7 linked regions of the Oryzias latipes genome follow. The protein of the gene in region 2 interacts with the protein of the main gene of each other region in a pairwise test. Links are inferred from orthologs where the notes say so. Each region holds a gene or a part of one and is shown on either strand. Other genes may lie near its edges.

Region 1 (3,935 bases), on a different chromosome or scaffold from region 2:
ACCACATTGAGACAGTGTAAACTGGTGGTGCTCTCCGCCCCCAGTTGGCACTGTGTTGATGTGGATCTCCATCATCTTCCATCAGAGGAATTAAAACGCTAATGAAATCAGGGCAGGCATTTGACCTCATCCATAAGCAAAGAGGAGGGAAAGCTGACCACAGAAATGCCAGTGTAGTCTGCCTCAGCAGCAAATTCCTTAAACCATTAAACGCACACAGAGCTGCATTTTGTGCACTTTAGACACATGCATCCTAGAACATTCTTGCCCCATCAGGGCACCACCCTTTACATTCCTGCGGACACAAACTGATAACCAGCTGGCATGAAATAAAACCAAAAAACTAATTGGAAAGATTTCTAAAAAGTAATGGAAAGGCCTCATGTCGCTCCAGAACATTCCTGTAAAAACACTCCCACCGCTTTCCTTTGTGTGTTTGACGCACACATCAGCACATTCAAACACACACGTAGGTCTCACCGGGTCAGCATGATTGCACCGGATGAAGTCCACCTGTGTAGGAGAAGAGCGCCCCGTTCTGAATGAATGAGTCATGGACACAGCGGGCATGGGCCCGTCCCTTTTCTTATCACAGAAGATGTGTTCGCCTCACCGTCCACCACCATCACTCACATGCTCACAGTCACCGTGCTCCTCATACCACATGCCAGCCGCACGTCAGGTATTCCAGCTATGTGGAGATTTTAGTTCTCACCCATTTCGAGGTGGGCATGTCCAAATGTCTCCCTTCAGATCCGAGCGGAATACTCTGCTGTGTTTTGATTGCGTAACGTGTCACGACCTTATAGCATGTACTAAGGACAAATCCCCAGATTTACTGTAGTCCCGTTAGCTGCAGATTTTCTCCTAAAATAATCTCGTTTGCAGTGATTCAATACAATTATGCAAACGCTGGCATATTTTGCAACTTTAAATGAGACTCCAGAGCTTTCTCTCTCAAAAGCACACAAGCCATTGGTCATCAATGTCTATTACACATTTTAGCCAAACAAATGCTCAGATTATACTTTCCAATACTGCTATTTCAAATACAGCTTTCAAAACAAACACAAAGATTTATCTTTTCTTAGGATTTAGATCCCCATCAGTTGGATGTTTAAGTCTTTCTGATGAATAGAGAGCTTTGGGAGGGCTTGCTGAGGTGTTGATTTAAATAATTCATTCAGTCATTTGTGGCAGACATCGGCCATTTTGCTTCGCAATTCATTACAGCCAAATGCTCTTTGTTCCTCTCTGCTCTCACAGCAACATGGCAGAGATGCACATTGGAAGGAGGAAAAAAAATGACAGCAATAATAATTAGCATCTGTCTTCATAAACACAGACCTCATGGAAGATTGATGACAGGAAATGCACAGCAGGCGCTCAGCTCTTCAGTAAGTGCGGGGGCCAGGATTGATTACTGCAACTATCTCTGCAGAGATTTAAGGTGTATTTTTGAGGCGGCGAGCTCCGAAAGATGGGACAGAAGTGAGGTAGCTGAGATATTTGGACCCTGTGCAAAGAAGAGGCTTCGGTGCATTGATTTGCACAAAGTGGGAGGGGTGCACTTGGAAGCAGCAGTTATGCAATCGCAGCATGGTGTGCCGAGTGCTCTCACTGCAGCACCAGTGCACGGCCAATATGGATACGTCTCAGTGTTGCTGACAACGACAGAACAGGCCGTTCTTGCCCTTTACCTGTGCCCCCCCCCCTACCCTCCAGCCCTCCACCTGTGCCCTCTCTGTTTCTGTCTGTGCAGAGGTCTGTCAAATGTCATGGAAACAGGAAACCCTCAAGGCTCCATCTGCGACTAAACACCCGAGATCAGTGTCCACAGACCAATTTCCGACCGCCGTTTTTGATCTGTGCGAGGTGGGAGTGTATCGGTGGGCATGCATTGGTCTCCATTCACACATCAGCGCGTGTATGACCAGCTGTCACATGAATCACCATGATGCAACAACAATGCAATGCAACAAAGCAAAACCTTTGCCTTTGTCCTGCCCACACAAAGAAAAAAAAGAAACATTTGGGTGAAAAACAAGGCGATGTGTCACAGCAAGAAGCATGCGCACACACAGATAATGGTCATCACACAAAAGAAAATCCTACAAAGCCCTTGTCATTACCTGTGCACTTGTTCCTGATTTTTTCTTGCTTCTGTTCTTGCAGGCAAAGCTTTCCAGTGATGATACACCGTTTGGCTCTTTGTGCGGGAAATGTCTCATCAGGGGAAGGATGCTCTCTTCTGTCCTTTTCATTCTAGGACCATCAACAACATGGAGGAGATGTAAGATGGAGGAAGCATTCACAAGGTGGACTCATTTTGCGGCTTTCATCATCCTCGGTTCCTCTTCCTCTCTCCTCTCTGTTATCCTTGTTTTTCACACCCTTAACCTTGTTTCTGTTCTTTCGAGTTCTTGATTTCTCCCATCTTCCTTTCCATCTCCTTATTTTTTGCCCTTCTCCCAAATTATTCAGCTTTTTCTGTGCTGCGCCTCTGATCTCTCATCCGTTCCCTTCCCTCCTGTCCACCGTCCTGCCTTGTGGTCTTCAGGTAAGCCTCTTCCCCTCTCCTCTGCTGTTATCGCTCAGCAGCCGTTCATTACTGCTCTTTTTTCCTCCGCTGTCTGCTTCAGTCAGTGCACCTCACAGTCACACATGCGCAGTGCCTTCACACATACATCCACACAACCCTGTCTCTGCTGGGCTCCTGGCTCACTCCCCTCATGCGTGCAGCTCTTTTTGCTTCCCCGCCCCTCCTCTCCGTCTCTCACACACTCTCCCACCACCTCTCCTTCCTCTTGAACCATCGCTGCAGCACACACTGCAGTGCCTCTGCAGGCGGGATCACGTTCCCTCGTCAACTGAGAAAATTTTTTAGCCAATCAGGACCAGACTCCCCACCCCCATCCAAACAAGCAAATATGCACAGTAGATATGAAAGCCCCCCCCCCCCCCCCCCCCCCCCCGGAAAAAAAAAGAGCTGTGAATCATGCTCTGTGTGAGCACATGTGGTCAATCTCACCAGTCAGCCACACAGGAAACACGAGGAGCCGATGGAGAAAAGACAGCTATAGATCATTGAGCATTTGCAAGAAAGACGTATGTGTTCTTAACAGTTCTCCAGCCTGGATCATGCAAAATGCACACCAAAAGAACAACATTCATGTTGTTATTTTCTGCAAGGCGTTAAAAGTTACTCGTGACCACTGCAGCAAAGAGAAGACATCTGCTTAAATTCATCTTCACAATCTTAAGACATAAACAAGGAACATGAGTTTCTTTAGAAACCACACAGACGCTGTAAAACTGCATTCTGGACACCTGACTCAGATCCAGAGGAGCTGTGATGTTGCATAATCAGGATTTCTAAGTTTGATGTCTACTAAAGCTTTCATGAAACAAATAAATAATCCCCAGATCAAAGCTGGGAAAAAAAGGTTGTGCATGATGTGAGTTCTGAGCTTAAGGCGAATGCTTACATAACGTCAGATCAAATGCAGAATATAGAAATCAACATTAGAGGAAAAGTGGAGGCCCAAGAAATTGAAGTAATTCTTGTAATTTTATATTTAAACAAAAATGAAATAAGAACTAGTACAACTTTTTTTAATTTTCTCTTTTTTAGAATGCAAATATACAAAGCTGCATTATCATGATTTGGGTTTCATAATTAATTTAATATTTGCTGTCTTACAAATTATTTTTAATGTGCTGTATGAGGTGAAATAAAATGACCATTAAGCTAACTTGATTCCTAACAATTCTGAACATATTGATTTAATATGCTTAACCGTTTTAGGCTAAACTTTCTTTACAAACATCACCCTGTATTAAAATGACAGGATTAGGTAGAAGGTCCAGTAAAAGAAGGCAGGATAAGAGAATAAATACCTTGCATGTTTTGTTCGGTGTCACCTATAATTCAC
Region 2 (2,256 bases):
TGATTTGGGTATTTTTGTGCAAAAGACAATGCGATGCTAGCTAAAAGCATCCAGGATGCTTTGTTGATGTTGTTGTCTTCCCCATCTTAACAGTTGAGATGTTTCATCTCTTGATCATCAGAAGAATATTTACAAGGAAGTATTACACATCTAACTACACGTTTAAGGATTTTTCAAAAAAGACAAGGTTTCTTTTTAACTAACTGCAACTTTGCATTTCACTGTCACCATAAAGCAGCTAAACTATAGTAATGCAGTATGATATTTCGACATTTCAACTATTTACTTTCACAGGATTACAAGGACGTCTCCATTTAATTTGTAACATTGGATCATAAGAAAAAAGCGGGTCACTTGAGCAGATACGGACGCCTGGTAGAGTTCCAATATGGAGGTTCGATTCAATGGAGGATTATGGGATGGGTTTTCTCCAGGTGGTGTCGTTTTTATCGTTTCATTTCCAAGTCAGAAGTGGAGTACTGTACCTTTTACAAGGGCTCTAAAATATTACATTCCGTTAGGTGATATCAGTATTGTGGCATGGCCAAGCAGCCTAAAGAAGGAGGCGTATGGGATGGGGGAGTAACAGGGGTATCATCGGGGTGGAGGGGGGCGGGTATGGTATAGGCATAAACAATGAGGGACTTGCTGTTACCAGATGGTATACCCTCCATTGGATCCGCCCATGAAGAAGTTGTTCTTACGCTGCGTCATGACAACGTTGGCGCCTTGCATGGCGGCCAGCTGAGCTGCGTTGGGGGGGTGTCCTGGAGGTGGTGGCTGATGAGGGTTGAAAAACAAAAAAGAAGAGTTGTTAGGGACAGCTTAAAAACTTTTGCAGTGGATGTGGCTTTTTCTGCAATGCTGGGTACTCACTGGGATGGAAACGCTACTGCCAGCTGAGAAGCGAGCACCAGCATCAAAGCCACCTTCAACCATTACTGTTGATCCAGGGGAGTACATTGTTCCCATGGGATAGTAAGCCATGGGGACATTCTGGCCCACCGGTCCAACCTGCATGTGTGGCTGCATGGGCATGTACACCTGGGCGCCAGGATAAGGAGAAGACATCTGCGGCACCTGGCCAGTCATCTGAGGTGGAAGCACATACCTGGGCTGGTATATCTGCAAAGAAGGAAAACAGGTGTTTTAAAAAAAAAGCAACAACAGGTTTTCGTCTGTTAATAGTTTAGGTTATCAAGAGGAGGGCTACCTCAGAATACGCAGGTGGTGTATCCGTGTAGGGGGGTGCCTGAGGAGACATTTGCATAGCAGGAGGGTACACAGGTGCAGTGCTCTGCTGAGGATACACAGCCTGCTGTGGATATGAACCTGCAAAACAGCATTTCAACAAATTACAGTACCAAAAGATGTATTTTTACCAACAAAAACATGTCCAAAACAAAGTATCAGAGCAAGAGTGATTATTCTGGCAAAAAGAATGACTGAGCTGTTTATTTGTCACTAGAAGTCTATGGGATGTGGGCGTAATATTATTATTATTATTTCTTTTTTTGGGGGGGGGGGTTATTGAAGCCAGCGGGTAGTTCCTGTTTGGAACGCAAGGAGAGGAGTCAGTCCTATACTCACATACAATCAGTGGATTCACCTAAAGAAAACCTACAAACCCCAAACATTTTACTTTATATTATAAAAACCTCTATCTGGTGCATTAAGATATTAAGATATTAAAAATAAACATTTTTCCTTGTTATAAAAGTTTAATGATCTTAAAGAATATGTTTACTATTTATTTGTACCCCTTTGATCACTATATACTACTATTTAATATCAAAATGCATATTTGATAGAGATGTCACAGTTTTGAACTGAAACCAAACCTTATGATAGACCCCTGGCCAGAGTAGTGGGGAATCAAACCGGTGCGTCCCACCTGCATACCAGTGTGTCAGACACGTGTTGTGCTAAATTTAAGAAGGATCTATAATTTCTTGTTTTATTACATTGCACCAGTCTTAGTATGAGCCAACTAAAGGGGTTTTCTTTCATTGTTACTGGCTTATTAGCAAATTAAAAATCTTTTTTTTTTTTCATTTGTAGTTTTTGCTTGCTTTGTAATACAAAATCTAAATATCAAACCAAATCAAAACCATGGCTCAAAAATAAAGGTTTGGATCGAATCGTAATGTATATCTCTGCATCCTTGATTGTTAATATGATTTTAACAGAAAATCCTCATAAATTATCTTTTTTTTAATGTAGAAATCATTATTTTTATAAATATTTTTTATCTGA
Region 3 (3,945 bases), on a different chromosome or scaffold from region 2:
TTTTGGGTTTATTTTAGAAAACAAAACCACAGAAATTATTTTAAATGTTGTCATTATCCTGGATAAATTCTGTTTACCGTACACAAATGTCAATTCCTTATAAATCAAACTATATTTTTTCACATTTCATAAAGAACTTTGCTTTTATTTTTCATCTGTAAACTTCATGGAAAATAAGGTTTGCTATGAAACTCTAAAGTATCACATGTAATTTACAGCTTTTTGATAAGTTATTGATCATTATAATGCCCATGTATCCCCCTTCTTTTAGGTTTGTATTTTTTGTTATTATTTTGTGATTGTTGTTTACCTTTTTCTGTGCCCGTTCTAATTGTAATTTTGGCTGTGAGACTGTAAACCTCAAGTTAGTCTCTTCAATAAATAAAGATTTAAAACAAAAATGTATGTGGTTTCCTCCTTTTACCTGTGGATGGGCGTATTCCGAGTAGGGGGGAGGAGCCGATTCCATGACTTCCTGTGTGAAGCCGACCTGCGGGGCTGCAACCACCTACACACGTCAGAGCAACAAAGGTTTCCCTTAAACCGTAACTCTGTCAGAAACGCCAGACAGAAAACGCTCACAGGTCTAAACTACAAGCTTCTGTTCCACTTGATCCCATCTGATTTCGTGTTCATTTTTAGATCAAATAAAAAAAAAAAAAAAAAATCAAGCTTAGTTTGAGTCTAAACGTATCAGACGATGAAAAATCTTACCATGTTAATCCTGGCATCTTGAAGCGCCATGGTCCATGCTCTGTGTTAAGAAGCAGGAAAAGACGTCAGTCTCACTAAAAGCTTCTCCACAGAACCCAAGAACTACATTTGATCAAAGGTGACACCTAAAGAGTCTTACAGAGCATCATCTGCACTGTCAGCACACAGGCTGATGACACGCCCGTCCCTGCACACTATCTGCAGCAAGGCATCACGGGACTTCCCCTCCGGGGGGGTCAGATCTGACAGGAAATGCAGGAAGGCCCACAATAAAAAAACTCAACGTTTAACTTTAAGGGTCAGCAACTGTCACAGTATCGCGGATGCTGAAATTCACCCTGGCATGCAGCAGAGTTGCGGATGTTGATGCAGCTGACTCTCATGTGGATGTCATCCTCCATGTCCCGCCTCTGCTGATCATTGTAGAACACCAGGCGTCCGTCAGCCCATAGGTCAAACCAGTTTCTCTTCCAGCGGCGCAGGATAGTACCTGCGATGAAAAGAAGCAGCTTCCATCAGCATCTGAACCTCTTTTTTATTACAATTAAATATAACTAATTGTCCAAAACATACAGAACAATAACAATGAGGATGCACATGCATTACAAAACATACATCACAAAAAATTAAAAATGTTCCAGGGCAATATTTAATTATTACTGTTTTGTTCTAATAAGATTCTAATTCTTTTGTTGTTACAGGGATTATTTTTAGAAACTTTAGATTTGTGAATATCAAACTTACCAAATATAATAAATTAATTTTCATCTGAAATTTGAAAACAACGTTGAAATGTATAAAACATTTTTTGTAATATTTCAGTTCCAAAATAGGTGACTCAATGTGTCTAGCTGCTCTTTGGGATGACCTGCATAGGCCGCGCATGCGCGTGACTCACTCTGTCTGTGAAGCCAACCGCTCTTCACCACAGCCATCTGAGAAGACACAACCAAACATGCTGGAAGTGAAACTCAGCAGAACCCCAAAAACGGACTAAATCGACAACAAGGCTCGATGTGACCTGAAATATGTTAGCAGTAGCTACAACTTCCGCTTTGACATGTTACATACATTCTACTAGATGCAGAAAAATTTCCCCAAAGCCGCATTTTAGCCGCAGCGTAAATTTAATACCAACAAAACAGTTTGGAGGCTCAAGCAGTCATAGATGCTATATGGTTGACGTACGTACGTAACCGCGCGTGTGACTCGACAATTCGTCAAAAGGCAAAAAATAATTTGCAACCAGCACGAGATGAGAAGCTTCTGGAGCGGACGGAGGGACCTGCCTGTTCCGTTAGCCGGACCGGACGGACGGACAGAGAGGCTGCAGGAGCCCCGCCCACCGAGACGTTTGTTTTGAATGACGCAACGCACCAGCTGACCGAGCTGGAAAGTGCTGGTAATCTGAGCGGGAACGCGCATGTGAAGGTCTCGCTTGGTCTGCGGGGTGGTGGAGCTGCCAGATCTTCGGTCGGTTTCCCGGTGTTTGGAGCGGAGCGCAGGTCGACTGTCTGCGGAAATACCGTCTAACTACAATCAGTCGAATGCTCTGGAGACGAGACGGGAAGAGAAAAGTTTGAGCGGCGGCGGAGCGGAAGTCCTACAACGACAGGGACCGACGGGCGACCCGGAGTTACAAAACAAACTTAGCGTAGCTTGGTTTGGCTAGTAGTTTGGAAGCTAAAGAGCGCGCGGGAGCCGAACTCTCCGTCAACAATGGCTACTGCTATATACCTGGAGCACTACCTTGACAGTGAGTATCCGTAGAAGGTCCTGGAGGAGTTTTGGTTCGGGCTTCTTCGGTCTTTTTCGTCGCCGTGTGGCTGCGGGTAGTTTAGCAGACGGTAAAGACTAAAGTGTGTGGTAGTAGCACACCTAAACTGATTATACGTACATGTTTGTGACGTCACTTGGGTTGACTTGTGATGGCTTCACAGATTCACGCCGGAGCAGAAATATACTGAGACGAAACCCTTTTAGTTTAGTATTTCCATTGGAGTCACGTTTTTATTTATCTATTTTTATTATTGAGGGATTTTTAACTCAAGAACTGTTTTTCAACCCCGCGTGAAGGCGCTTCCGTTTGCTGCCGGGACTTCATGATGTGCAGCCTGTGCAAACCGCCTTTTTGGTTACTGCGCAGGCCCGGTGCCCCCCTGACTCCACGCCCTGCAGACGAGCCCTTCCAGCTGACGCTGGGTGGCGCTAGAGCGCTGTGCATCCTGTCAGCCCCACCATGCTGAGCACGACCATGATGTGGAACAGGGGCCACCTACATCCTTAGAGCAGCGTTTTTTAACCAGTGTGCCGTGGGAGATGGTCATGTGTGCCGTGGGAAATTGCCCTCATTCACTGATCTAAAAACATTTACCATCTCCAGGATTTCAGCTCAAAAGATCGGATACGTCTCAGATTCAGGACCACATACCCAAGGGGCCTGGGTCACATTTGAAAAGATGGGATCTGCGTCGTCCAGACTGTCATGAAAAGATCAGATACAGGTCACAGGGGGGCAAAAAAATCGGAATTGGGTCGTTTCAGTCTGTGGTGTGAACGTAGCCTTTGACGTCTTGAAACCACAACGAACACGCATCAAACAGTTTTTAAATATTTTAACTTAACTTTTATTACATCTTTTAGAAGAAACAGCTGCAGCTTCCAGCTTTTTCTGCCACAATTATCACAGAAATGCATGTGAGATTGTGGAGGGACTGTACATCAATACAGACTAAGAGTTTCTCCCTTTTCTTTATTTTTGGATGCTGGTGTGCCGCGGGATTTTTGTCAAGGTTTAAGTGTCCCGTGGCTCAAAAAAAGTTGAAAAACACTGATCTAGAGAGCAAGACTAGAGAAAGCCAGAAGGAGCTGCATTTCCAGAAGAAAATGCAAGGTTTTAACGTATATTGCTTAATGAAAATGAAACTAAAAGGGTAAGAATGGGCACAAAATAAAAAATTAAATAAAGAAATGTTCAAAGTTGACCATAAGTAAAGTAAAAACGGCAAAATAATAAAGATATTTTTGTGAAAAATGCCAGACAAGTTTCTGCACCCAGGATTCCCCATGTATTTCAATGGAGGCAAAAATCATGGAATATCTGGAAAAGTTCAAGGATTTGAAGGACCAAAAGTCATAACTGGAAAAAGCTGAAAGAGCTGAATAGTTAAAATAGCTGAAAAATTGTAGAAGGAGATAAGCGGCCAAAAATGTCAGAAGATACTATGATAA
Region 4 (4,044 bases), on a different chromosome or scaffold from region 2:
TTCTGGTGTTTCTGTCATCCAACTTTCACTACTGTGTTCTTTATCTGCAGCTGATTGGTCCAGCAATGAGACGTTCTGCTGATGAAGCTCACTTCCATCCCCGCGCCTTTAGCTCAGCCTGCTCTCTCAAATCTGATTCCGAAATCCAAGAGGAGGAGCCTCCAGCTTGTGGGCGGAGTCAAGCCCCCAACATGCCCCACCCAGGACTCAGTGTTTCCTCCCTGTTCGAAACTGAGGAAGACTTCAGTATTGACTTCTAGCAGCTCCTATGTGTAGTCTGGTTCAAGTGTGCTGCTGGTGGAGGTGTTGCCGTGGAAACAGGTGATATAAAATTACATTTAGTGTTTCATTTGGACTGTTTTGGTTCTCAAAAGCAGCCTGCTGTGCACTTGGCAGTACAGGTGTGTATCAAGACTCCACCCACTCGGATTCCTTCATGTTTTTATTGTTCAGAAACAGATTAATAAAAGACAGAAACAGGTTAAGGAGTTGATTAACAGTTGAACAGATAGAAACTCAGGTTAAATAAAGCAGCTGGTGCGGTCACTGTGGTGGGCGGGGCTGCTTGGCGTACTGGATGGCGTCCAGAGCCGCTCCAATGTCAAAGTTTTTGGCCTGGAGGAGTCTGGTGAGCCAGCCCCCCTCATCAGTGAAGCCCATCGACAGCATCTGAGCCAGAGACTCCACCAAGTGGGGGTCCGCCTCTGTGGGGGGCAGAGGGAGGAGCTTACAAGAGGGCAACAGTCATAGCAAATGATACTTGTGAGAACTAGACTCACCTTGAGGCAGGTGGGGGTACAGCGCAGCCTCCCGCAGACCTGTTGGCCCCTGCTGCCCTCCCGACGGGGGCCCCTGCTTCCCTCCCGACGGGGGCCCCTGCTGCCCTACCGACGGCTGCTGCCCTCCCGACGGGGGCCCCTGCTGCCCTCCCGACGGCAGCTCGCACTCGTGGTTCTTGGGGTCTAAGGATTGCAGCTCCCCCGTGGACGGGTCCACCTCTTTGGAGCTCAGGTGAGTCCACTCCTCGTCAGAGTCCCGGCTTGCCTGCGTGTACGTGGGGACGAGGGTCAGTTGTTGACACGTTCATTTCAGTCATTGATCAGTGAACACAGACTGACCTTTGACCTCTCAGCAGTTGCAGACTCCCCTTCGTTTACATCCATTGCCACATTGTCATCCCCCCCTCCAGCCTGAGTGGGTGGATTCACCTTCGACCTCTGCCCGTCATGCTCAACATCAATGTCCACGTCGATTCCTGCATGGAAATCATGACATCACTTCCTGCCTGTCCCCCAAAAACAGCAACTCCACTATGTACACTCACCCAGGGGGCTCAACATGGCGGCAACCCCCTCCCCAATGTTCTTCAGGAAGTCCACACTAGCCTGGGAAGCTGCAGAGGTCAGAGGTTAAGGTGGGAGCATGTTAATGCCCTAGGCTCAAACGTTTTTTGAGTTTCTCTCACCTGATGGTTCTCCACCGTCACCCGAAGATGCTGATGGCCTTGGCTGGTCCTGCTGTTCCTGCTGCTCTGGGTTTTGGTTTTGATTCTGGTTCTGGTTCCACATGCAGTGTCTCATTCTCTTCATCCACTTTCCACGGGGAAACCACTGCAGACACAGTTTCTGGTTCAGTCAGTGCATTTTGGCTTTGACCAAAAAGTCCTTTCTTTTAAATCAGCACGATGTCCAGACAGAAGTGGAAAGACGATTAGATGGTTAGATGGAGTAACTCACCTGCAGGGGGTGCCAGATGGGCAGCAAAGCGTGCTCAGTGTGCTTCCCTTGAGCCTGGCAGGTGGAGCAAAGGTCGTAGTCGGGACAAACGGAGCACTTGAACCGCATTCCCACAACCGGCCCTTCACAGCCGTCACAGGTGACGTTAGGGTGCAGGGCGGGGGGAGGGCCGTGATGTGGAGCATGAGGGGGGCCATGGGGTGGTGGGTGTCCAAACATGAAAGGGGGTAGGGCATGCAGTGGGAAATCACGGCGGTGCTCCTTCTTCTCTGTCAGAGTTCAGGAAGAAAAAAAAAAAAAAAACCGTGAGGGAGGACTGCTGGGAGGTCACTCTGATCTCACACAGGAGGCCGTGCATTTACCTTTGATGTAGAGGCGGAAGGTGGAGTCCTTCACGCAGCCCAGGCCCATCATCAGCTCATCATCAGAAGAAAAGGCCACCAAATCTCCATCCTCATCTGAAATATAAACCGGAATCACACCTGAAGCTCCTCCCCTCTACGTCATAAGGTCCCACCTACTCCGCCTGTGTTTGTGTGTGGGTGTGGGGGGGGGGGGGGGGTCTAAACTTCGGGCCTCCTGATCAACTGAATATTTTCAATTGCGCACAAATCAAAGGACAGAAATTTGTGGGCGTGGCTACATGCGTCACGTGACAGCAATCCCTTTAAATTAGCTGTTTCTTAAATAAGTCAGTGGGCGGATTATGTTTGTACAGATTCAAATGTCTACAGTCCTTCTATATACTCGAATGTTTCTCTAAGTTGGTCTTCCGCGTTACTGCGGCTGTTTAATAAAGTATTGACAAAAAGTTCGGTTCCAGGTTAGTGAGTATGACGGTTCCGATCAGACCCAGCGGATCCCGGCTCTGTCTGACCCGGCCCATGCGGCTCACCTTTGTAGAAGAGGTTGAAGGAGGAGTTCATCAGGTTGGAGAAGACCGCCGCGGTTTTCTTGCTGAGATATTCGAAGTTGCAGGACACGTCCTGGTCCACCGCGAAGCGGCGGATCTCCTTCACATGCTCGTCCTTCCCCAGAAGGTAAGCCTTCACCGTCACAGACATGCTGCTGCTGCTGTGGACTCCGAACCACAAAGTTCTGACACCGGGAGCAGGACCGAGACACAGACGCAAAACCGTCACTTGAACAGTCCAAGAAAAATCCCAGTTTGTGACGCAGCGATAAATTTCAGCCTCTTTTATGTTTACTTCCGCAGGTGACGTGATTCTGTTAACAGTTGCGCAGCCGCGGATTGGTCCGTGTAAAAGGAACGCCGGTTCCAGAGGTCCAATCAGAGGCCGTCTTGTGTGTCACGTGATCAGGATCCCAGCAGACAGTTCACACACATCGCGGAGTCACCGTGAGAAGGCAGACTGCGGCCATGAAAACACGGAAACGATGAATCGCCTAGAGACGTCCTCCTGTGTTTATCAAACCTGTGGCCCATCGGAATGGATCCTTCTAGAATTAGTAGGAAAGTTCTAGACTGCTTCAGTACTTTTAGTGTTTCAGACTAAACAAGGGAAAAAATTTAATCTTTTCAATTTAAAACTATGGAAGTTCATTAAAGAGAAATTAGTAACTAACCATAAAATGTCAGTTATTTTAAATAAATAATTCATTTAACATTGGAATTTTTTTCCTTAAAACAGTTAAACTTCATTAGATTTTTTCTTTTGGAGAAAAAAAACGTTATATGTTTTTGAAATTTGTAATTCATTTTTTCTCAGCTGTTCAAGGAGGAGCCTACATTTTTATGTTATTCTTGTTAATGTTATAATGTAATATTTATTCTTTAAAATTATTATTGTTTTAGAGATTACTTCCAAGTCAAAAGGAAAAAAGTTTGTCACAAGAAAATAATAATAAATAATCAGGCCTTATAACATCGAAGACAAGTGAACAATCTAAACCTAAGATACAACTTTACTTAAATAAATAAACCAAAACTACAACGCCATTGTTTATTGAAATCATCAGGGTTTTTTGTTTAAAGCCAAAGAGACCTAATGGAAGGTTAAAATAGCTGCATGAAGACTAATATATTGTATTCTAGTAAATACTCATGATTAGTTAACTGTAAGCATTTTTCATGTCTACCATTATTTGTCCTGGATCACTGAGAGGGAGTTGATGTCTAAAATTCTTCAGTTATTTTTCCTATTCAGAGGGAAAAAAAGAAAAACAATTTTCAGAAGTGTAGTAAATGGATTACATCTGTAAACTACCAGTAATGATAAATTCATAGTCAATGTTTATGAGGAAATCTCCTGATATTCTGTCCACCTTTAGGTCTTCTCTTCAAATC
Region 5 (3,500 bases), on a different chromosome or scaffold from region 2:
GAGCAGACTGTCATTTAGGTGTCCATCGAATAACAGCCCACTCACAGTGGTACCAGAGGTAGATGGAGAGGCACAGTTGAGAAAGGAGTGAGACCTGTCAATCAAATTAAGTTTTATTCATAACATACGGCTTAAGTGTGACTCAGCGATGGCCTGTACTTGCTCTGAGTGCTGCTATTCTTTTTCTTACCCATGGACAACCCACGTGTCGGACTCATCGACACGACTAACGTAGTTCTCGGGAAGAAGACCGGACAGCCCTGTGCCTAGCGAAGTGCCATACACCCAGCCCTCACTGGCAGTAGTCTGCTCCACCGGAGACATAAAGATGAAGTCTCCCGGCAACAGCTCCAACTCGTCATCGTTCTGAGGCACATATGGGTACATGACTTGCAGGGTCTAGAGAGAGCAAATGGAAAACAGACATTAAAAGAGGATTTAACAACAAAAAAATGAAAACAGATTGTAGAGAGAAATAACTTAAACAGGTAAAGTTTACCTCATGATTGGCAAAGCGGATGTCCCGGGATAGGAGCACAGCCAGCCAGTCACAGCCTGAAGACGCATCCACATTTTTGGCCAACTTCTCCAAAGCCGGAAGATGACTGGCTTGAAAGTGGTACGCCAAAGTGACGTGAAGTTGCTTCTTATGGGGCTCCACATGGACATCTGGATCAGGTTGGAGATCAAACATTTACAGCTGACTTAATGGGGAGAATGAAATACCTCCTTCAAATGTGTCTGTTTTCTAAATCCCAACAATTGCAGACTTTCAATTAATGACAACCAAAAACATAGATTTTGTCAAAAATATTATGTCTTATTCAGCTGTTTCACCCTGCTACGATCCAATCCAGCTGCAACCTAAGTTTATTCATCTTTAGTTTCTACTAGACAGTCTTCACCTAACTGACTTTAATATGACTATAATTTTGAATTTTATTTTCTGAAATGAATTCTTGCTAATATTCTTAGAGATATTTTTTGTGTCGTTCTCCTGCTGAAGGTCCAGTCATGTCCAAGTTTGAGTTCCCTCACAGATGGCATGGTATTTTCCTCTTGGCTTTCCTCACACTTGACTGACTCCATCTCCCTCCTCACACTGCTGGTTTCTTGTGCCAAAGGAAGCAAAGCAGCAGGATGTTCGTCTCAGCATAATCTTCAGTCTTCCTTTTCCAGACACATCGCTGATCCAGAGGTCTGAAAAATCCCAGTTTTATTTCATAGTTCCACAAGAAAAAAACTCTAGTGGACCATTTGTATGGCTTTGAGTTTACTGGAGCAAACTAGGCTCTTTATTTGTCTCTATGGTGTTGTGTGCCTTGGAGATTAGTTTAGGATGTCTCTTTGTCCAACTGCTGAGATCTTTCCAATCACTGGAGCATTTTTGCCCACAAGCCTTCTTGGGAACCATTAGCTGCTTTCACACCGCCTCTTGGCTCTGCTTCGGAGGCATCTGTACTCAGCCTCGCTGTGATGAGGGAAACAGCTCCACAACTGGACGGCATTTTGTTGCCTCTGGATTCAATGTCTAGAGTTGGTTACAATTTAACCAGAGGCTGAATGGAATACCAAACTGCATGACAAACAATCATGACTCTTCTTCTCACCTAATATCATGTAAACAGAAAAAAGAAATGAAATGTTGTTGATCAACTTTCCACATATCCCTTCAGGGGTTGCCACAGCAAATCAGCTTTCAGCCATTCTCACAGGTGGTTTGGTAGATTTTTTACACTGCCCTTCCTGACACAAACCTGTATTTTATCTGGGCTGGGGACCGGCACAGGGAAACCCAAACTGGGGCCCCTTGTGGCTACATTCTTCTTGCCCAAGGACCAACATGACGAAGGTCATCGCGCCCTCTGGGAAACGAACATTGGTTTCCCATGCGCCAGTCCTACACGCAGCCAACTGAGCTAATCAGAAATCAGATAATAAAAAAAATGATGGATTCAAAGGTGAACATCTGGATTTTATGAGGAGCACACTACCCAAACAAGTATTCAAGTATTTGCTTTCTTCTTTCTCGGTCCATGTATGTCTTCATTTTCCTCATCTGAGCTGCTTGTACGGCTTTGTTATCTGATTTTTGGGGGGCATTCCATTGGCTGAATTCCCTAACTGTATAACCTTCTATCCTACTGTCGAACTGAAAAAAATATAGAAAACATTTAGCAGAAATTCCTTCCTGAAGGTCAGGAAAAAGCTAACAGTATTAACGTGTCTGAAAGTCTAACCTGCTTTGGAAGCTGCTTCAGTAGAAAAATCAGAAGCAAAAGTCTTCAGCATCTCAGCTATCTGCTCGTCCACAAACAGGCCGATGAAGGTGGAGGAGGTGTAGAGCTCCAGGGGGAGGGGCATGCCTATGCGACCTTTCCACTTGGCCACAGTGTTCTGGAGGGCGTCTGACAGAGCTTCCACTTTTTCATCAGCACACTGAGAACGGCAGAGATGACAAAACAGGAAGATCAGCTTCAGTACTGAAACTGAGTCTGTTAAAATCGGACAATATGGCTCCATAAGCTATACATTTCGTGGATGTCTGCTTTAAAAATGTCCAACAGTGAGACTGAATCAGTTCAAAGATGCAACATCATTTTTGTGACATGGAAAAACTGTGGCACAAAGGTGAACTTGGGTCACAGCTTTAAGACCCACTCTAACCATCTTTTGATTTATTTTCAAAGCCTTCCAAGTGGGCTTTTAACAATGATTATTTTGTTTTTAGCTTAAATTTAAAAAAGAAACCTGTGTTGTTGACATGGTTTCTGCAGAGCAGCAGGAGTTCGTTAGAAACTCGCCATTGCGTTGTGGGCGGGACTGCTGGTGCGGAGTAAGCCCTCACTTCCCGTCAACAATCTGTTTATACTTTCCCCACTAGTGACATACAGAAGCAGTTTTAAGCCTAATCTTCCTCATATGTCTTCCATCATGAGAAAAAGGCCACAAGAACATGTAAAAACACCACTTTCAGAGTGGCTCTTTAAAACCAAGAAGTGGAAAAAACAACAACACTTTTAACCAAAGAGCACTAAAAACTTGGCCACTTCTATTTTTGAAAGGAAAACTTGTCAACCCTCTACTTTTTCACTACAGCAAAAGTGCTTCACTGAGAATGTTGCAACATGAGGGACACGAGGCCCGGAGTGGATGAGTAATAACACTTTAAAGAAATACACAACTAACCATGAAAAACTGACAGAGGGTGATGTGAGGAAAGATGTTGTGAGCCTTGTTCTTGCCACAGGAAAGGCGAGATTGCTTCCAGAAGCTATTGAGCTGCTGGAGCAGCGGCCCACTGGGTCGCAAGTAGAGCACATACTCTCTTGGCAGAGTGTCATCCAGGAAAGGGTCGTCCAAGTGTGAGAAGAGCCTGAAGGAGTCAAAGGAGAGGTGACCAACAAAAACAGAGTCATTACCGCTACTGTCCAGCAGAGGGCACAGATGCTACAAACGCAGTGACATAAAATAACCTAAAACAAGGTCAGTTTATCTTT
Region 6 (4,040 bases), on a different chromosome or scaffold from region 2:
CACGACAGGAGTTTTTAGATGAAGCTTCAGTTCTTCATTCACTCCTTTGAACCTCAATAAAATAAAATCATATAGAAAATAATGTAATAGAAAACAGTGTCAATAAATCTATTTGTTTGCTCCTCAATCAACAATGAAACTCTTTAAGTATCAGAATCACAGAAACAAGACTTTTATTTTGTAAGAAAAGTAAAAATGATGTCGTTAACTCGGGTGATTTTGGGATCAAAAATAATTCCAGGCAAAAAAATTTAAAGAAATATTTAACAAGAATATTAAAGGGGTGATTATTCAAATAAAAACTTTAGAAAAAGTATAAATATAAACTATATGTACATATATATATTAGCCCTGATGTTAATGCTAAATAGAAAAAGTGGCCCCAGGATGGAGCCTTGGGGAACTCCACATATAATTTCTGCTAGCTCAGATGTGAAATTACCAATGGACAAATGCCGCACTGAGATCAAAAACAACCAGAACTGACACATTTCCTTTGTCTGTGTTCAATCAGATATCATTCGTTTTATCATATTAAAGTCATTTAAAAAAGAAAAAAAACTGTGTGGTATATATTTTACTTTTTTGATCTAATCAAAGTCTGTATTTTTGTCAGAAGCTCAGCGAATGTCCCGACTCACCTGGGGAGCCCCGCTGGGGGTGACAGGTGAGTCATCAACACCCAGGGAGAGATTCCTCAGGCGCCGAGCAACAGCGCCTCCGAACTCCTTCACCAAGTCAGGCAGTGGGAGGAGCTGCAGGTCCTTCACGCTAACCACGCCCAGCTGGTGGAGTTTTTTAGCCGTTTGATGCCCCACACCTGAGGGCAGCGTCCAGGTTGAACAGTTTCTCAAACACGCCACAGGTTTGCTTTTTAGGAGGCCATCTTTCCGTACCTGGAACTTTCCGAACTCCGCCCAGTGACTCCATGATGTGGCCGACGTCCTCCGGCAGCAGGACCGTCTGCTGGTTGGGCTTGAAGGTGCCTGAAACCAGCTTGGCCAGCAGCTTGTTGGTGGCGACGCCGGCGCAGCCCGTCAGGCCCAGTCTGCTGTGGACCGCGTCCCTCAGCTCGGCCGCGATGTAGGAGCCCAAAGCCAGCCGCGGGTGGTCGCTGCCGCTGATCTCTGCGTCTGCACAGAGGCATGGCGTTCTGCAAAAAACGGACCGCTTGCAGGAAAGAAACCGAGATTCTCATGCAAATATCCTGATTTGCAAGTTCCTCTCAGTTTCCTGACAGCGACGGTTTGCAGCAGCGATGCGAGTCCAACTCACTGGAAGGGTTGTAGACGTGTCCAGAAAACGAATATCCTTCAGGCGGCGGCGTCTCCTTCATCCGCCTTTCCACCATCTCTGTGACGTCCATGAAGTTTTCGTCAAAGCCAAGTCTCTCCACCAAAGGACAGAAAGACGACAGCAGCTCTGAGAGGAGGAAAACGGCAGGTAAAGTCAATCAGAGTCTCAGGATCGCTCTTCTCCACAATCTGATCCTGTAGATCTGTTTTTAATTAGCCTAAGAACGGCTCCAGATTCCTGCCTGTCACTTGATGGGAAGCCTCTCTGTAGAGCGTCAGGTCTTCTCCTCGGACCAGAACCAGCTCTGGACATTTTTCTTTGGCATCGGTTACAGACATCAGCTTGGTGACGCCGCGCTCCCTCGCCACGTAATTACAGGTGACGATGATGTACTTCTGCTGGATGCCTGAGGACACAGACGTCATCGTTTGAGCAACTTTAAATTCTAAGAGGTATATAACTAAGTCACACCTGGATACTGAGTTTTGCTCTGAGATTTCCTATCTGTTACAATGTATTGTTCGTCCTTTAAATTAAGTTTATACATTTATGTTTAACAAAGTTTTGTTCCTGTGTTTTTGCTTTAATCCAGTTTATTCCAGATTGCTCTAGTGCGGTTAATCTGGAATTTAAAACAGAAAAAAGTAAACTAAATAAATACTTATCTGTACATAAATACATTAGAACTTAGGGTTATTTGCTATGAAACAACTGGAAAAAACCTTTAAAGAAAAAGATGGTATAGAAATATACACAAATATATTTATAGACACACATGTAGCCTACATTAATCTCCATATAAATATATCCACATGTTAATGAGGTCATTATAATTACCTTTAATTATACACAGAAATATTAAAAACTACACTTAATCCATTAAATATTAAATGTCAAATGGAAATAAATTTATTATTTAGTGGGGAAGTGCAATTATATAATGTCCATAAATGGTCATAACGGTAAAATGTCATCTAAATGGAATAAAATGAAGAAGAAAAAAACTCCATGAAAGGCGGGAATCTGAAATCAAAAAAGAAAACTGCAGCAGAAACAAGAAAACGGTGGAAAATTGCCTAAAACAGAGAATTTACCTAAAGGAACCTCCCTCAGAGAAGGATCTCTGATCATCTCCACCTGAGCGTAGAAACAGTCCAGGTCAAAGTGGAGAATTACTCTGTGAGGAGCTCCTGGAGGATTATTTACGCTCCATCCTGAAAACGGAGACACAACTGAAGTTCATGACAGCCGCGAGCTCCGACACGGGCTAGCTTAAAGCTTCAGAGTTTACCGGAAGTGGCGGGTTCTTCTGGACCCGTGAACTGGCTCCTCCACTGGCCATCGTCTCCGTCCATCTCTTCATCGCTGCTGTCCATTTTATTTATGAGTCTAAAGTTTGTAAAAACATCTGAAGTGTAAAAGATTCAGCCAGGGTTCTTCTTCTGTGGTTGAAATAGCGGCGCCAAAACAGCTAAGAAGCTCATTACCGCCACCAACTGGTGTGGAAGACGAACCTGGATTTCCTATTTCCCCCCTCCTTAAGAAAGCCATGTATGGAAGCGTTTGTGTAGCATAATTAAAAAATAAAAGTCGGTACTAGAAATGCTTTTTCATTTTCACAATAAAGCTGCATTTGTTGACTTAAAGGGGGAGGGGGACAGAAAAGGAAAGGGAAAGGGCCTGAATGACTTTTTTTTGTATATGCTGTTCTGCAGATATTTAAACTGTTACTGTTTTTACTGTTCTAATTTTTCTGGATACTGTACTGCTCTTTCATATACGTATGTCAACCAGTGCTGTATGCGATGGAGATGTCAATTTCCATGCGGGAACCTCCCCCATTGATAAATAAAGTTGTCTATCTATCTATCTATCTATCTATCTATCTATCTATCTATCTATCTATCTATCTATCTATCTATCTATCTATCTATCTATCTATCTATCTATCTATCTATCTATCTATCTATCTATCTATCTATCTATCTATCTATCTATCTATCTATCTATCTATCTATATCTATCTATTTAAAAGAAAATGAAAAATCAATCTGCCAAACGGCATTTTCGTTTCTTCAACAAAGTTTAATCTGTCACCTTTAATAAAAGGATAAAGAGAATGGTGTTTGACATTTCATTTTCAAAAAGTTCTCTAGTAAATGTGTATCAACATTCAACTAGAAATATCTAATTTGACAATTAAAATGGATTAACAGATTAACAGTTTTTCCTTTTCACAATGAAGCTGCGTTTGTCAACTCAAAAATAAAATGAAAAATCAATCTGCCAAACTGCTTTTTCTTTTTCTTCTTGAATTGTCAAACAAAGTCAACAAACGCAGCTTTGTTGTGAAAATGAAAAGGCATTTCTGGTACTGACTTTCATTTTTAATTATGAGACACAAGTGCTTCCATAGTATGAAAGTATGGAAACATTTTGCATTTAATTAAAACAAGCAAACAAACACAAAAAACGTTTCATGTATTAAAAAAAAATCTAAAACATATTATAAAAGAAAAGAAGAACACATTTTCTGCTCATCTTATAATTTCCATGAGCAGATGAGGTTAGAGCCCAGCCTGTTTGTAGTTCTTAAACATGTTCGAATGAAAATGTGGAAAAGATTTGAATGATCTTTTTTCATTTACAATTGAATGCAATACACTTTAAAAAAAAAAATTATCTTACGATCCACTGGGGAAAAAAAACGCAAACAAAAGTATCCCGAAAAACCTCAGATTCTC
Region 7 (3,500 bases), on a different chromosome or scaffold from region 2:
GATATTTTAATAAATTGTTTAATGTTAACATACAAAGACTGAATTTTGGGTCAAGGGCTAAAACTAAATGAAATCTCCCCAACAGCTAAAGTTCTGATCTGCTACCATTAAATGATTTTGTCATTTATAAAATACTAAAACTGAATATATTTAAGTTTAAAAAACTGTCGTTTTAAACAACACCGATGAGATAACCCTATATTTCTAATAAAACTCAAAAAGAAAAGAAAAAAGAAAAAACTCCTTTTCATGCTTGACACAGCTCAAAGCACTTTACAATTAAAAAAAAATACAAAAGCACAAAAATTACTAGCAAAAAATAAATTACCGGTAGTAAAACTAACCCACCCCTTTGCCCTCCCCCTTTCCCGAATGTGGAGATTGATAAAAAAAATGAGATTTATAGTTAATTCAAAATGATGTGAACATGCAACAAAACTCAAGGTTCCAACTTTTCCTACGCATCCTATGAGCTTGTGGCTTTTTTTGATCATTTCCTACTCACTGCAGATCAGGTGGCAGACTTCTCTGGGTTTCCCACACCCCAAAGGGAAGTCGATTCCTTGGTATGTTGTATCTCAGGGACCATTGGGAGGCTTTCTGAAGACCACAGTACTTTGCCAACAACTCTACCAAATGGATGTGCAGCTCTGCATCATCTGCCACCACATTCTGCAGACATGACATAAAACTAAAAATGAAGCAAAACCCACTGATGTTTCCATAATGTATACGTCTTTGTTTTTTTTAAATAAAGCTTACCTGCACATGGTCAGCCCAGCTTTCTTCAGTCATACCTTGCTGTAAGAATAAAGAAAGAACATTGCTATTCATTTTTCTAACCCTGCAGTGAAACAGGATAAACTGAGGGGACAGCAGAATGCATTTTTCTTCCAAACTGTTGCCAAACAATGATTACAAAACAGCTGGGAAGTCTAGACTTTTGCTCACCTCCACAAAGGTTTTATACATTAGGTAACGCAGAGTGTCTAATCTCCTCTTGTGCAACGCATTTGGACACAGTGCTGCGTTAAGAAAAAGCATAATATTAGTAACACACCAAAAAATGTTTATTGATAAGCCCATATGTGCCGGGAACCCACCTGGATCCACTTTGAATTTCTCCATGAGTCTTAAGACATGCTTGGTAAGGATCTTTGGATGGATTTGTGCTAGGTTCTGTTTGGACCGAGTCAGGCCTGGAAACAGCCTGCAGAGGCACACATGCACATTGTTGGATTTCATAGCCTACTACAACACTGATGTCAACCCCAGCTCCGTTCCAAAGCTGGTTTTTACTCATTCACGTGGCATATCATACTTGTTAATCCTCTCAGCACTGAAGTTGGGGTGACACCAAGAGTCAAGCAGTGAGACAAGTTGTTGTTCAAGCTGTCTGCGGCCGCTGACGAACGCCTCTGCCAACGACAGCTTATCCAGCACAATGAGAGGCACACACATCTGTGGATGAAAAGATTAGAAAAATAGAAATACCATTTAGGAATGTTATTATCTAATTTATGATCTTAAAGTAAACATAGTCCATAAAGCCACTTAATGTTCACCCCACCTTTTCCATATTTAGTTCTTCCTGTACTTCCAGCTTCATGCTGAGGATTGCAGCCTACCAGAAAAAAAGAAAACCAATGATTTACTATCATTGCACTTGTTATAGGACTTTCAAATGTTTGTTTTTGTGTTCGGAAACTCACTTCTTTGTAATTCTTGACGTCCTGCAAATTCATAATATGGAGTCGTAGAATCGATGGGTCTAAGGACTTGAGCTGGTAGATGCTGATGAGAGCATCTACGAAGGCGGGCTGTGTGTCTGTTAGTAAGTCGAGGGCTCGATGCTGGAGTGCAAGAGCTTTTTGTTCAGGGACTGAGCTCAAGTTCACCTGAATAACACAAATGACAAGTTTTAAAAAGAAACCGTAAATTGAAATTAGTTTAATTTTAAACCGTTTTTTAAAAGGGAATTTGTTCATTCAAGTTATCCTAGATATTTATGAGGCTGACTTAACTTAAAGTTTGACACCATTCTAAAAGACCAAAATCTGGAACATCTTGATCATCTACCTGAGGGTGGTCCTTCATCCATGCCTGAAAATCCATGAGGATATGATAACCCAGAGTGTGGCTCCGACCTTTCTGTTTGCCCGGACAACGCTCCAGGATTGTTAGTAAGGCCTCGAGAGGCTCAGACAGTTTGGAAAACCCCTGCTGGGTTGCTGAACGCAGCTATGGACAAAAACAGAGAGGACCACATGTAATGTTGAAAAGTTAGCTGGTAGACTTCGATTTAAACTGAATCTCTGAGGTGCAGTTTTTTTTTTTTAGATAAAAGCCAAAAGATTTCAAAGTTAAAGTAATTTGTTTCTAATGGAATTAAAGGGTAGCTCTGCTTAAAGCCGTGCTCAAATGAAAGTAAATGTGCAAGAAATCAAGCTGTTTGATGGATTCAACGTTGCTGGAGAGTTGACGCATAAGCAGTTTAGTTGTTTTGGCTCATCTCACTAGTTATTAAACATTGATTTTGATGAAGCGTCTGGCGTTCAGAGTTCATTCTAAGTGTGGTATGCTCATTTGGCAGCCACGGCTTAACATCCACCACATGTGGTCGAAGAAGTTGTCAAAGCAAGTGAAAGAGGCCGTCCTTAATCTTCAAAAACAAAAGAAATTCCCAGAGGGGAACATCAGGAGTGTGCAAATCAACTGTTCAGTAAATAGGGGGGGTGCAGCCAGAAAATGGGAGCTTGACAACAAATGAGGGGAATTCTGCTGAGGAAAGACGTGAAAAAAATGACAAAAAAGACCAACTTGAATCATAAATTAAAGACCAATCTGCAAGAGAAAGTCAGTACTGTTCAATTTTAGCATTAAGAACAACCTTCAAATACTAGAGGACATGCAAAAACTGCCAAAACTTCAAATAAAGTCCCATCCGATCATCTTTTGATCAATTTTAGAAAGCATCCCCTGCGGTCTTTTAATTGTGATTATGTCAATTTTAGCCAGAATCACAAAAAATTCCTTTTTCTAGGCGTTTGATAGAGATTCACCATTAAGTTGTGGGCAGGACCCTAGATCCATCAGAACGGAGCGAAGAGGAGAGCTTACGGTCATTTCTGTTCCTGATTCACAACAATTTGCGGAAAGAAGTACAATTCTGAGCTTAATGTTTTTCATAATTCTCTTCCATCATGAGAAAAATGCCACAAGAACATGTTAAAAACACAATTTTCACCAAAATGGGTTTTTAAACAACTGATTTTCTAATTTATTTCAAAATCATTTAACGTTAGCGTGTCACATTTTTCACTTTTAGTGGGCATCTCAAGTATGAATTGGTCCAGTTTGTGTTTATGAATAAGCTTCACTTCATCATGAGCTTACCAAAGCTATAAAAGGGACTTTATGAGTCCAGACATTTTTGACAAATTCCTAACTTAAAGGAAATAGATGCAACAAAAATTGGCATTTGTGTTCATCTGAGAGAG

Evidence for each region.
Region 1: the proteins of dazap2 (region 2) and rnf208 interact in binary tests that used the Homo sapiens proteins (3 or more experiments, as listed by UniProt). The two-hybrid records come from large-scale screens. The link is inferred for Oryzias latipes from reciprocal best matches to the Homo sapiens genes DAZAP2 and RNF208.
Region 3: the proteins of dazap2 (region 2) and plekhb2 interact in binary tests that used the Homo sapiens proteins (3 or more experiments, as listed by UniProt). The two-hybrid records come from large-scale screens. The link is inferred for Oryzias latipes from reciprocal best matches to the Homo sapiens genes DAZAP2 and PLEKHB2.
Region 4: the proteins of dazap2 (region 2) and sqstm1 interact in binary tests that used the Homo sapiens proteins (3 or more experiments, as listed by UniProt). The link is inferred for Oryzias latipes from reciprocal best matches to the Homo sapiens genes DAZAP2 and SQSTM1.
Region 5: the proteins of dazap2 (region 2) and ubash3b interact in binary tests that used the Homo sapiens proteins (3 or more experiments, as listed by UniProt). The two-hybrid records come from large-scale screens. The link is inferred for Oryzias latipes from reciprocal best matches to the Homo sapiens genes DAZAP2 and UBASH3B.
Region 6: the proteins of dazap2 (region 2) and poli interact in binary tests that used the Homo sapiens proteins (3 or more experiments, as listed by UniProt). The two-hybrid records come from large-scale screens. The link is inferred for Oryzias latipes from reciprocal best matches to the Homo sapiens genes DAZAP2 and POLI.
Region 7: the proteins of dazap2 (region 2) and exd3 interact in binary tests that used the Homo sapiens proteins (3 or more experiments, as listed by UniProt). The two-hybrid records come from large-scale screens. The link is inferred for Oryzias latipes from reciprocal best matches to the Homo sapiens genes DAZAP2 and EXD3.

Annotation. Positions count from the first base shown.
Region 1 is NC_019870.2:14,790,701-14,794,635, reverse strand, and holds the start of rnf208 (RING finger protein 208), read right to left. Parts: upstream 2,801-3,935; 5' UTR 2,133-2,800; intron 1-2,132.
Region 2 is NC_019865.2:22,359,146-22,361,401, forward strand, and holds part of dazap2 (DAZ-associated protein 2), read right to left. Parts: intron 1,333-2,256; coding exon 1,214-1,332; intron 1,126-1,213; coding exon 877-1,125; intron 781-876; coding exon 652-780; 3' UTR 1-651. UniProt on the Homo sapiens protein: In unstressed cells, promotes SIAH1-mediated polyubiquitination and degradation of the serine/threonine-protein kinase HIPK2, probably by acting as a loading factor that potentiates complex formation between HIPK2 and ubiquitin ligase SIAH1.
Region 3 is NC_019862.2:3,235,668-3,239,612, forward strand, and holds the start of plekhb2 (pleckstrin homology domain-containing family B member 2), read right to left. Parts: upstream 2,801-3,945; 5' UTR 2,612-2,800; intron 2,552-2,611; exon of another isoform or gene 2,541-2,551; 5' UTR 2,471-2,540; coding exon of another isoform or gene 2,434-2,470; exon of another isoform or gene 2,106-2,433; intron 2,082-2,105; exon of another isoform or gene 1,903-2,081; intron 1,650-1,902; coding exon 1,613-1,649; intron 1,205-1,612; coding exon 1,052-1,204; intron 957-1,051; coding exon 854-956; intron 755-853; coding exon 715-754; intron 509-714; coding exon 425-508; intron 1-424. Other genes in the region: ing5 (inhibitor of growth protein 5), read left to right, coding at 2,434-2,470. UniProt on the Homo sapiens protein: Involved in retrograde transport of recycling endosomes.
Region 4 is NC_019868.2:3,816,862-3,820,905, forward strand, and holds sqstm1 (sequestosome-1), read right to left. Parts: upstream 2,801-4,044; coding exon 2,632-2,800; intron 2,195-2,631; coding exon 2,099-2,194; intron 2,006-2,098; coding exon 1,737-2,005; intron 1,611-1,736; coding exon 1,466-1,610; intron 1,394-1,465; coding exon 1,325-1,393; intron 1,256-1,324; coding exon 1,119-1,255; intron 1,045-1,118; coding exon 780-1,044; intron 705-779; coding exon 544-704; 3' UTR 430-543; downstream 1-429. Other genes in the region: mrnip (MRN complex-interacting protein), read left to right, coding at 51-260. UniProt on the Homo sapiens protein: Molecular adapter required for selective macroautophagy (aggrephagy) by acting as a bridge between polyubiquitinated proteins and autophagosomes.
Region 5 is NC_019872.2:15,465,856-15,469,355, forward strand, and holds part of ubash3b (ubiquitin-associated and SH3 domain-containing protein B), read right to left. Parts: intron 3,377-3,500; coding exon 3,190-3,376; intron 2,440-3,189; coding exon 2,241-2,439; intron 670-2,240; coding exon 500-669; intron 400-499; coding exon 191-399; intron 95-190; coding exon 1-94. UniProt on the Homo sapiens protein: Interferes with CBL-mediated down-regulation and degradation of receptor-type tyrosine kinases. Promotes accumulation of activated target receptors, such as T-cell receptors and EGFR, on the cell surface.
Region 6 is NC_019867.2:1,943,930-1,947,969, forward strand, and holds the start of poli (DNA polymerase iota), read right to left. Parts: upstream 2,801-4,040; 5' UTR 2,673-2,800; coding exon 2,588-2,672; intron 2,511-2,587; coding exon 2,391-2,510; intron 1,749-2,390; exon of another isoform or gene 1,703-1,748; coding exon 1,538-1,702; intron 1,423-1,537; coding exon 1,276-1,422; intron 1,134-1,275; coding exon 897-1,133; intron 821-896; coding exon 642-820; intron 1-641. UniProt on the Homo sapiens protein: Error-prone DNA polymerase specifically involved in DNA repair. Plays an important role in translesion synthesis, where the normal high-fidelity DNA polymerases cannot proceed and DNA synthesis stalls. Favors Hoogsteen base-pairing in the active site.
Region 7 is NC_019870.2:15,860,838-15,864,337, forward strand, and holds part of exd3 (exonuclease mut-7 homolog), read right to left. Parts: intron 2,242-3,500; coding exon 2,080-2,241; intron 1,899-2,079; coding exon 1,713-1,898; intron 1,625-1,712; coding exon 1,571-1,624; intron 1,462-1,570; coding exon 1,322-1,461; intron 1,211-1,321; coding exon 1,104-1,210; intron 1,026-1,103; coding exon 952-1,025; intron 802-951; coding exon 763-801; intron 673-762; coding exon 506-672; intron 1-505. UniProt on the Homo sapiens protein: Possesses 3'-5' exoribonuclease activity. Required for 3'-end trimming of AGO1-bound miRNAs.